Mus musculus: one gene and its partners. The protein of the gene in region 3 interacts with the protein of the main gene of each other region in a pairwise test. Links are inferred from orthologs where the notes say so. Each region holds a gene or a part of one and is shown on either strand. Other genes may lie near its edges.

Region 1 (3,652 bases), about 2.8 Mb from region 3:
GATTGCCTCTCAGCTTACCTAGAAACCCTGACTAAAGACACCAGGGAGGAGTGGAGGGTGATGGCTACATGTTTATATCTGTCAAAACTGTAGGGCACGGGCAAACCTGTGGTAGTCTTATAATCTGTGCTTGTGAACATTTAATGTCAGTTTCTGTGTGGAATTTGTACAGCCTGAATATGATCCTCAAGATTCAACCCAACTGCAATGAAGACATTACTCTGTAGTATTCATCACTTAATAAAATTCCTATCCAATGTGTGTCTTTCTGTTTATAAAAAATGGGGAGTATACAGAATGGTAGCCGGACGCTGACCACCCAGAGCCTGTCCGTACTTTTCATTTTATCTGTGTAATTTCCTCTTTGCCTTGTTTATTTAGTTTCATATTCTGTGCATGTATAAATTATAAGCACTGTTTTTTTCATGATTGAGTCACAGAAAATGTGTATGTGCATAGCCATTAGTAATCTGAAGGCAGGTTTTATAATTGCTCTGTGTTCCAGCTAGTCCAGTGGTGTTCACTGTTGTTCTCGAAGCCATGAGCGAGACTCAGGCATGTGCCAGGCAGAAAGGCAGGTTACACAAATGGGGATTCCAATTCCTGTCCTTCCCGGGCCTAACCGACTCAACTTCTAAATTATCACATATATAGTATTGTGATTTGGTAAAGGCTTTTATCTAAACAGAGGGCTTTGTTGCTTAAAAAAATGTGAAGATGGCTCTCTAGAAATGGATTTATGCATTCTGCTAGTGCATTTACTATTGATAACACCACCTTAAAGTCAAACCCTAATCTATATATATGTAGAATTATTTTTTAAGAGTGTATTTTCCAAAATGAATTCTAGGGTTAAAGGATGAAAGTTTTAGAGTTTCTTGAAATAAGTAAATTACATTAAAGTTATATTAAACTTATTTTAGGTTTAGATAGCAAAGGATAAAAATAAATTTAAGTGATGCACTTTAATGAAGACCATTCTTTGTAAAAATCTTGCATTTATTTATCTGTTCATTCATTATTTCTTTACTTATGTGTATGTGCATGCATGGGGGTCAGTGGATCCAGGGATTAAACTCAGGGCATTAGGCTCGGCAGCAAGTGCCTTTATCCACTGGCACATCTCACAGGCCCTTTTAGCTTTCTTGGTGTGCTAGGGTACTCACTGTCTTATACACAGTAGGCAAGTGATCTATCACTAAGCTGTATAATTTTATATGATTTTATAGTGCGTGTGTATGAGATAGAGAGATAGGTGACACAGGCCTGCTCTGCCACAGTGTGGATGTGCACAGGACCACTTAAGGGGAGTGGTTCACTCCTCCCACCATGTAGATTTTAGGTTTCAAAATAAGGTCATTGGATTTGGCGGCAGACCCCTTCCCTGACTTGCCACTTCCCTCGCACCTTAATATTTTGACAGGGTTTTGCTGAATAGCCCAGGCTGGCTTCAAACTCATGATTCTCCTGCCTCTGCTTTCTGAGTGCTGAGGTCGTACGTGTATACCACTGCACCCGACTCAGTAGAAACCTGCTATAAAGAGCTGTTTTGTGTGGCTGGTTATATTTTAGTAGTGGAACAAACATGATGTCTTAGGTTTGATTTCCAGCACAGTCCCTATAAAATTAGGAACATTCTCTTCTACTGAGGATATGCATCCCAGACTAAAGAACTGCAATGGCAAGGATTTTAAGGGATTTATATTTCTTCATACAGTTGTGAAACTTTTTAAATAATCAAAAATTAAAATCTGAAAACGTGAAGGCTCCTGACTAAAGCTGTTAGAAGTGTCCATGTAGGGGTTTACTTACCATATTAATATAAATAGATAACAAGAGATAAAAACAGAATCAAAATAATTACGTATGCATCTAATAGACACCAAATTGTAATGTTTGACAACATCCAAATGTGTTTGTGTTTCTATTTTCTAAAGGTATAAACAGCACAAAACTGACTTTGAAACGATCCCACAGCAGCGTCCCATTGCCCTGCCGTGCCGAGTGAGTGGTTGCCGGTGCAAGGCTTACCACTATGTCCCTCTGAATGGTACCCAGCCTATTCGCTGCAGGTGCAAGCACTTTGCTGATCAGCACAGTGCCGCTCTTGGCTTCACATGCAATGCCTGTAAGTTCCATTCTTATGCGAAGTTGCAGAGTGCTCTAAGTTCTTCATTAAATACTTATTGGATTTGACAGTTCATTTAGTTACAAAGTCAATATTTAGCTACAAAGTAAAATTCAATGCGTGGAGACTCAGTTCTTGGAATGTTTGAAGTTCAGTCATTATAAGTAACAGGGATAGATTTTAAAGAATTACTAGACAAGACCTGATTATTATTATTATTATTTCATTTTTATTTTTGGAGACAGGGTTTCTTTGTGTTGCCTGGCTGTCCTGGAACTAGCTCTGTAAACCAGGCTGGCCTCGAACTCACAGAGATCCATCTGCCCCCTGCCTCCTGAGTCGCTGGAATTAAAGACATGAGCCACCACTGCCTGGCTCAAAAGTTGTTTTTTGTTGTTTTCTAAATTTATTTTAATTTAATTTTATGCCTATGGGTATCTTGTCTACATGTGTATCTTGTACCGCATGTGCTCTTGGTACATGTGAAGGCCAGGAAAAGGATACCTGGAACTAGACTTATAGATGGCTGTGAACTGCCCTGTGGGTGCTGGGTTCTCTATAGAAGAGCAGTAAGTGCTCTTAACCACTGACACATCTCTCCAGCTCTGGTGAAGTTTTCAGTAATGGGGTGGAGTAAAGCAGTAAATAATAATTATTATTCTTATGGAGGACCTAGGTTCAGTTCTAGCACCTACATGATGCCTTTCAACCATTTGTAGACAGACATTGTACACATTCATACATTTAGACAATCACGCATACACACAAACATAAAATAAATCTATAAAAATAATAAAAATGTTTTTTAATGAGAATTTTATTAATCTGGTCCCTTTTTTTGCTGTGGCAGTTGATATTGGGTGGGCATTGATCCAAAGATCTCATGAATACTAGGCAAGGCCACTGAGCTACACCCCCAGTCTTAAATGAATTCTTTACAGACTTTTTATTTTTTGGTTGATTTTTTCGAGACAGGGTTTCTCTGTATAGCCCTGGCTGTCCTGGAACTCACTTTGTAGACCAGGCTGGCCTCAAACTCAGAAATCTGCCTGCCTCTGCCTCCCGAGTGCTGGGATTAAAGGCGTGGCCACCACCGCCCAGCTTCGTTATAGACTTTTAATTTTTTTTTTTTTTTTTTTTTTTTTTTTTTTTTGGTTTTTCAAGACAGGGTTTCTCTGTATAGCCCTGGCTGTCCTGGAACTCACGTTATAGACTTTTAAAAAAGTGATTTTATAATTTAAAAAAAAAAAAAGCAACAACCTGACAAACATTTCAGATTTTCTGACTGTGGGTGCTCAGACAGTAAATTCTACATGTAGTAGTTCCAGGTCAGTGAACAGATCTGAAGCATTTCTTACTGCAAGCAGTCTGGCTAAAGAGAACTCAACCTGGGAAACAGTTTACTGACAGTAGCAGAGTGACTGATTCATCCGACAAGCATGGAATTAGTTGTATAAAACTTAGGTGCTTTGGTAACCATCCACAGGTATAAGTAGTGTGAGCAGGTAAAGATTTTACATTATA
Region 2 (3,652 bases), on a different chromosome or scaffold from region 3:
AGCCATCTTGCTGGCCTCTATGGGCAGTTTTTTTGACTGTATAAGACAGATGAACTGTAAGTTAAGAGAATAAAGCAGAGCCTTGCAATCCCAATCCCTGCATGAGTGTGCTTGCATCTCCCCCGGCAGGAGAAAGACTTACAGGAATCAATGTGTGGATTAGGGGAGATGTTTATTTTCTTCCCTTATACTTCTGTATTTCCAAAGCATGTTACCATAAATGTTCTTCTTGTTTTGATCATCAGAAAGAATGATCAAATCAGAATAACTTCATTATGCTATGTGATTTCATTTATAAAAGCTAGTACACGTGAAATTATACATTAACTGTGCCTTATGGCATTTGACTTTAGCAAAAAAAATATAATAAGGGCAGTAGAAATATGCTTTTAAAATACAATTTTTTTTTAAAGTTCAGGGTCATCAACATGGTGGCACTTACCACCAAACCTAACAACTTGGGTCCTATTCCAAGGATCCACATAGTAGGAAAAGAAAACAGATGCCAGCAAGTTGTCCTCTGACCTCCACATAGACTCCATGGCATTTTGAGTGTGCAAAATCTACAATCGTCTACAAATTCTACAGCTCTCAGCAGCCGTAGAAGAATGGGTCAGCTTAAGCACAGCCCACAGACGGGCTACCGCACAAATCCTAGGGGAAGGACAGAGCAGTGTGTGTTGGTGCCATGCTCATACCCCCACTTCTCCTAGGTTTACTGGACGTGCCCAACAGAAGACGTGGACTCCTTTGAGATGGAATTCTATGAGCTCGTTACCACCCCTCCTAATAATGTGCGCACAGAGCTCTGTGGACAAATTCGCGACATCCTGCAGCAGAACCTGGAGCTACACAACCTGACCCCCAACACTGAGTATTTGTTCAAGGTTAGAGCCATCAATGATAATGGTCCCGGGCAGTGGAGTGACATCTGCAAGGTACTGTGTACATTGACTTCTTAGGCTAAACGTTTTTCCTATTAATTTTACTGGAGAATCCCACATATGCACACATGCCCACACATGTACTCACACATGCATGCCATAGTACACAGACAGATGTTAGAGGTTCGATCTGAGGGCCTCAGGCTTGTCAAGAACCTTTACCAGCTTTATCAGATGGGAATGCCTTCATAGAATCAGGATTTGGCTTAACGAGGCTTCCTAGATCAGCAGAGACCGCCGAGAATTCTGCCTCTAAGCCCAGAAAGCTGGTTAACTCTCAGCCAATGACAGTGTCTCTCATCTCTGGGTCCAGGGATCATAGGTTCTGCTGAACTCAAAACTTTGCATTAGGATACAGAAGTTCAGAGTATGACCAAGCATAACCCCTCCTTCCACCACAGTCAGGGACTCGCAGTCATTGTATGAGAAGAGTAAGAAATAATTGCAGTGGGGGAATTCCAAAGGAACAATGCTCCCTGTGAAGACGACAAGGTGTGAAATCTAGCAAAGATGCACAGCAGCCAATTAAATCAGCATTTCTCACAGAGGACAATTGAAGCTTGTAGTACAAGAATATCCCATGTAATATTTAAAACATATTTATACTAAAACTACTTTTGGTTTCTCTGGTAGTTAAAAAAAAAAAAAAAAAGACACGGAGCAGGTCAGGTTGGCTCCATGAAGCAAAGGAACAAACTATGGTTGTTGTGATGGAGAGCTGATGCTTATCTGAATTCCCAGTGACGGCACACTCATGAGTGCCATTGTAATGACATTGAGAATACTGGGACAGGCAAGAGCTATCGTACTATATAACTGTGGAGGTGTTCTTTGCAATCAAATAAGATTTCGAGGTTCTTTAAAAGTAAAAAAAAAAAAAAAAAAAAAAAAAAAAAAAAAAGTCCAGGACTATTCATTTAGGGTTTAGAAGAAGGGAGATATATGGCACCGAGAGGGGGAAGCCTTGAAAGACCTCTAAGACACACCTAGAAGAAACATATCTGTCAAATCTGATGTCCACAGAAGCTAGAAAGTTATCACCCTTCCCTCTCCTTCCCTCCCTCCTCTCTTTTCTCTTCCCCTTCCCTTCCCATGCCCCTCCTCTTCCTTCTTCCTCTCTCCTCCCTCCCATCTCCTCCTCTCCTCTCCCTTCTCCTTTACCCTTCCCTTCCCCTCTTGCCCTCTCGCTCCCTCTTCCTCTCTCCTCCTTCTCTCCTGTCCACTTCTCTCTCAATCAGCCTCATTTTGAGTCGCCCCTAAGTTTCTGCTCCACTAAGCCCAGCTTTTATGTACTCTTGGGTTGTCTCCACCCATGCTCTGAGTGGTCTGAGCACTCAAGGCCATTGGATCGGGTTAATTGCACTTTAGCAATCTGGTCAGATGTTTGAGGGTTTGGCTGTCCCTTCTAACAATGTTGGAGAATAGGAAGGAAGTGGGGTTGTGCTATCAGTAGCAGTTCTGCAGAGTGGGGCTATTCTCCTGGTCATGCTTCCCCACCCCCCGATCCCCCCCAAACCCCCACCCCCCAACCCCCACCCCCACAGAAGTTGGACACTTCCATGCCAAGGAAGTGCGATGAGAGAGCCTGCCTGGCTGCTCTGCTAGCTGTTCCTCTGCCAGCCTCTCAGCCTGTGTGGCAGTTGCCACAGGGACCTTCTCTCTCCAGAGCCCCGAAGCCTCAGACCTGTTGCTATGTTTTCCATTCCATGCTCTCGACTATGGATTTTGCTTTTAATCTGATTCCATCTGCCTTCTCAGCCTTTAGAATCCTGCAGAAATGTCTTACTCACGAAGGGCACTCAGTAGCTGTTAATTTTTTTAATGAATCATCTGTCATCTCTAGATGTGAGGGAGGATTGGGGACAGATAGAGAGATCGAGGCGTGTCGTCAGTCCGCCACCTTACCCTCCTGGGTCTTCTCATCTCTCTCCCACTATGACCTCCTTGCAAACAAAATTCTTGCCTAATTCATCTTTCTCTCTCCTGTGGTGCTTACCGAAGCAGTTTGCACACAGCAGCCTCTTAACGGTTATTGAACGGAAACATGAGTAAAAATGTAACCAAACAAATGAATGTATGGGCGAATGTCTAAATTAAGGACTGAAGGAGTAAATTGATAAATAAAATTAATAATCACAAAGTATCATAAGATGCCTGAAGGCAGAATGTTTTATACAGTCAGTCAAGGAATAGCCTTCCCCTAAATCTGTCCTTATGCGATTAATTTGCCCCCCTATGAAAGAGAGGGAAATGCATGCCTGTCTCTTTGCTTTTCCTCACAATATCTAAATGAGCAGAACCCTAATTAATGAGGTTTTCTGGAAGCTTCATTTTTATCTGACTCAAAGAGCTACAGTATAGATTTTTCCTTCAGAAGTACTTCTCCCTCCCTCCTTTGCAATTCTATTAGCATTCCGAGGAAACGCTGCCTTCCTTAACATTTGTCATGATTTGCATAAGTAAAGGCTTCACCAGCAAATGAAAATAAGATGGTGTGTTTGAATGACATTTATAAAGCTTCATAAAAGTAATGGCTTTAGCTCTTTCCTATAAAATCGAAATTTTTTTCCTTTGGCACTGGTGTGCGCGTATCTCTGAAAGGTTTCATTTGAATGCTTCTAAGAGGTAGCATAGTCACGTCTTATCCCCACCACCATGCTTCCAGCCTATGTACTTCTATAAAAGATGCGAGAGAAAACCTTTTATAT
Region 3 (3,752 bases):
CAGTGTGATATTTCAGGGACATCAGAACATTGTGCGACATGCAGAAGACTAGTCACGAATCACACAAAATATACATTCATTGTGCCATCCATCACATTAACAATTAGCTGGAAATACACTGGATCCAGCCATGATACAAGACAGTGTGGAAGGAAAGGGTGACTGAAAGAATGAATACCTTTGGGTTACAAATGATCCAGCATGATTTTTAAATGCAGGGTGGCCAGAGAAGCAGGAAGAATTGGTTAGAGTTTGGGAAGACCTGGCACAGGCAAAGTGCTTGGCAGGCCTTCTTAACTCTGAAAGAACCAATTGAGGCCAACTTCTGAGGCATCTGACTCTGTTTGAATGAAAGAGGTTTTCTTCTTTCGCCCATAATCACACATGAACTGTACCAGTTTTGAGAATTTGTCCACCCTGTTTGATTTAGTGACCTACATATTTCTATAAAATGTGTATAAAGATAAATCTCTGACGGGAAAGCATTTACAACCAGCAAACTCACACACATGAAACCAGCTAAGTTAGGGGGTGAATTAATTGTGTAAACACAGTGCATCTCTTCTTCATGAGTCTTTGGACACTCTCTCTCCTCTATGTCCTACTTAAGGGCTAGGTGGAGAAGAACAATACATAGATAAAAGGAGAGATGCCTCCTTCCTGCAAATGTCTGATGGCAAAGGGAACTAACTGTTCTCCAGCCGACATCTAAAAGGAATCATAGGTTGTGGGGAGAAAAAAATCTCACAACAGTGAAGGAAAGGATGTTGGGAGCCATCAGCAATTGATGTGGACACCCGATGTGGATGAAGGAGTTAACTTCCAACCAAGGCTCCAGAATTCTCTGGAAATACCTTATCTTGGCCAGGAGCTCCCCAGATGGGACGAGAAAGGAAGAGAGAGTCTGTAAAGAAAGGAAGATAAGCTAAGAATGTGCTTTGGGTAAGAAATCCCAGCCCAGGGAGAAGCCTGGGCTGCAGAGTTGGGCTGGAGTAGCCTCAGTGGGAGGTAGTCAGAGTGTCTGAGGTAGACGATGCCGGAGAAGGGGCACTGGGCGAGGGGCTAGATTTCTCAGATGATTCTTCCGTTTTCTCATCGCTGCCAGGAGGAGTGGCAGGGGAGATGGGCAGGAGCCCCTCCTTCTCACGCTTCTTCTGCTTCATGCGGCGATTCTGGAACCAGATCTTCACCTGGGTCTCATTGAGCTGTAGGGACGCGGCAATCTCCACCCTGCGCGCTCGTGTAAGGTACTTGTTGAAGTGGAACTCCTTCTCCAGCTCTGTGAGCTGCTTGGTGGTGAAATTGGTGCGCACTGCGTTGGGTTGACCCACGTAGCCGTACTCTCCAACTTTCCCTAGGGTAGGGGAGGAAGAGAGAAAAGATTAAAAAAAAAATCTTAAACCTTTATCCAGATTGCCCCAAGCTTGAGGCAATATTCGGTTAACTACTCAGCGAGCACAAACCCTATCGGGAAGCGCCAGTGACGATGTGTAAGCAGTGTTAACCTGAAGTCAACCATTAGTGTGATCAGGCTCGTGATTAATGGAGCCTTGTAGATATTAACAGGACATCACCATCACCACCATCACCACCATCACCACCTCCCACTCCCCGCACACTATCTAACTATAGACCATTTAAACCTCAGCCCCTGTGAAACGCTTTTGCCTCTGCACACCTGGGCACCCTACACCACTCACTACAACTCTAGATGACATTAGACATAAACAAGAACCAATCTTTTAAAAATCATTCATTTTCCTAGGAAACTAGGTGTGCCAGCCCCTTTCAAAAATCGAACAGCATTTGTCTGTCAGCCGGCAGGACTTACCTGTTTTGGGAGGGTTTCTTTTAACTTTCATCCAGTCAAAGGTCTGCGCTGGAGAAGACGTCTCTGAAGCAGGGGAACGACAGGCTTCTTGGTGGCTGGCGTGGAGAGGGGATAAGGAGTTATTATACGTGGCCAGGGCCAGAGTCTGCTGCTCTTGTCCATATGAGTGGTGAATGTACTGGGGCGAGCCCACTGTGCCCCCAGCATAACCCTGGTGGTGGTGGTGATGCTGGACCATGGGAGTCGAGAGGTTTCCAGAGTAAACAGCGGGAGCGCACGGGGGGTACCCACCACTTACGTCTGCTTCCTGATTTAATCCATAGGGGCCATAAGGCGCACTGAAGTTCTGCGCGCCATAGCTTGGACCACAACTCGAGTGGGAATAAGAAATCCCAAGGTTTCCAGAAGTCTGGTAAGTAGCCGTCTGGGGGTGGTGATGGTGGTGGTGGTGGTGGTGGTGGTGGGGCGAGCTGATCTGCACCCCCCTGCCCACTAGGAAGCGGTCGTCGCCGCCGCAGCTGTTGGCACTGACCGCGCAGGATTGGAAAGTTGTAATCCCATGGTCAGAGGGGTAAGCTCGCGCCGAGCAGGTCCCAGAGTCGCCACTGCCAAGGATGGGGTATTCCAGAAAGGAGTTCATTCTTGCATTGTCCATCTGTCACTGAGTGATTGGATCCTGCGAAGCCCTGGGTGACCGTGCCAACTTTCTCACTTCCTCCATAGGACCAGAGAAGAAAAATGATATGAATGTACAGTGCGCAAGAGGCGGGGCGGGCAGGCGGAGGGCTCGAGGGGAGGACACGTGACTCTACCAGCCAATGGCTGAGCCGCCTGCGAAAGTTTACCGGCTGCGGCCGTGATGGATCACCGTTTCAGTGGCATTTAAATCCCCGGCGCTCCTCAGTGTAGGTGACGCGCGCTCGCCCCCCCAGGCAGCCCGGGCCGCGGCGGTAGCAGCGGCCGCTCCCGGAGCTGACTTGGAGCACTGGGACCAAAGGGAGTCGAGACTGCCTTCTGCGCGCGCCCGGCTTTGCGCGCCTCCGCCACCAGATGTGGGGGGATGGGAGGCCCCCTCCGCGGCCCCTTCCCCACCCAGCCCAGAAAGCTGAACTGGCAAGAGGTGAGAGGGGATGAGGCCTCCTGGCTCTCTTGTGGCGGGCATCTTGTGGGCCGAAAATCTCTGCGTGGTCGCAAGGACCCTGGCGGAGCTGGGAGCACGCGGGGTGGGAAGGGTGGGAATCCAACAGACACCACGCCCTCAGCTCGGGGCGGCCGCCACTACCCAACCCCTGCAAGAGACCTGAGCCCGGAATCCCGGCGCCTAGGGCGAGGTTGCGTCACTGGCTCGCCAGCCTCGGAATGTAGAGGGACGTGCGCAGAGGATTGACTGGGAGGAACCATGGTGAATGTGCTGGGGACCAAAGCAAGAAAAGAAACTTCTGTCCTCATCCAAAGGGTCTTAGAGCCCTCTTCCCTGATTCCTGCCGGCCAATAGCATGGCAATGGGAGCTTCTGTAATTCGACCCCAGGGTCCCGGGATTCGGGGGTGGGGGTGGGGGTGGGGGGGGCTACGAACCCAGCTCTCTGGGAAAGGCCGGGTGTCCACTCTCTTCTCTGCCCTCTCTCCTTCTCTGTCGCTTTGCTCTTGGTAGCCCTGCAAAATCGGGGCAACTCTGCTACTGGAGTTTAAGGAGTAGAAGGCAAAGGAGATTGTTGACGCCAGCAGACGTGGCTGACTGGCGTGAGGGCCGAGCCTGAGCTGCAGGCCATCTGCCAACTCTTAGAGACCCAGGAGCATGCTCACTCTAGGGTAGGCCTCAGAAGGGCAGATAACAGGCAACTCCTAAAAAGTATGCAGACCTCCCCCGTCGAGTTTCTCTCTTCCAGGAGAGGCAAGTTAGGAGTGGAAGAGCCCCCCCTT

Evidence for each region. The genes of interacting proteins can lie anywhere in the genome.
Region 1: the proteins of Hoxa1 (region 3) and Fam221a interact in binary tests that used the Homo sapiens proteins (3 or more experiments, as listed by UniProt). The link is inferred for Mus musculus from reciprocal best matches to the Homo sapiens genes HOXA1 and FAM221A.
Region 2: the proteins of Hoxa1 (region 3) and Trim42 interact in binary tests that used the Homo sapiens proteins (3 or more experiments, as listed by UniProt). The two-hybrid records come from large-scale screens. The link is inferred for Mus musculus from reciprocal best matches to the Homo sapiens genes HOXA1 and TRIM42.

The regions. Positions count from the first base shown.
Region 1 is NC_000072.6:49,374,167-49,377,818, forward strand, and holds part of Fam221a (protein FAM221A), read left to right. Parts: intron 1-1,937; coding exon 1,938-2,128; intron 2,129-3,652.
Region 2 is NC_000075.6:97,356,379-97,360,030, reverse strand, and holds part of Trim42 (tripartite motif-containing protein 42), read left to right. Parts: intron 1-713; coding exon 714-938; intron 939-3,652.
Region 3 is NC_000072.6:52,155,736-52,159,487, forward strand, and holds the start of Hoxa1 (homeobox protein Hox-A1), read right to left. Parts: upstream 2,583-3,752; 5' UTR 2,487-2,582; coding exon 1,832-2,486; intron 1,355-1,831; coding exon 999-1,354; 3' UTR 1-998. UniProt on the Homo sapiens protein: Sequence-specific transcription factor. Regulates multiple developmental processes including brainstem, inner and outer ear, abducens nerve and cardiovascular development and morphogenesis as well as cognition and behavior.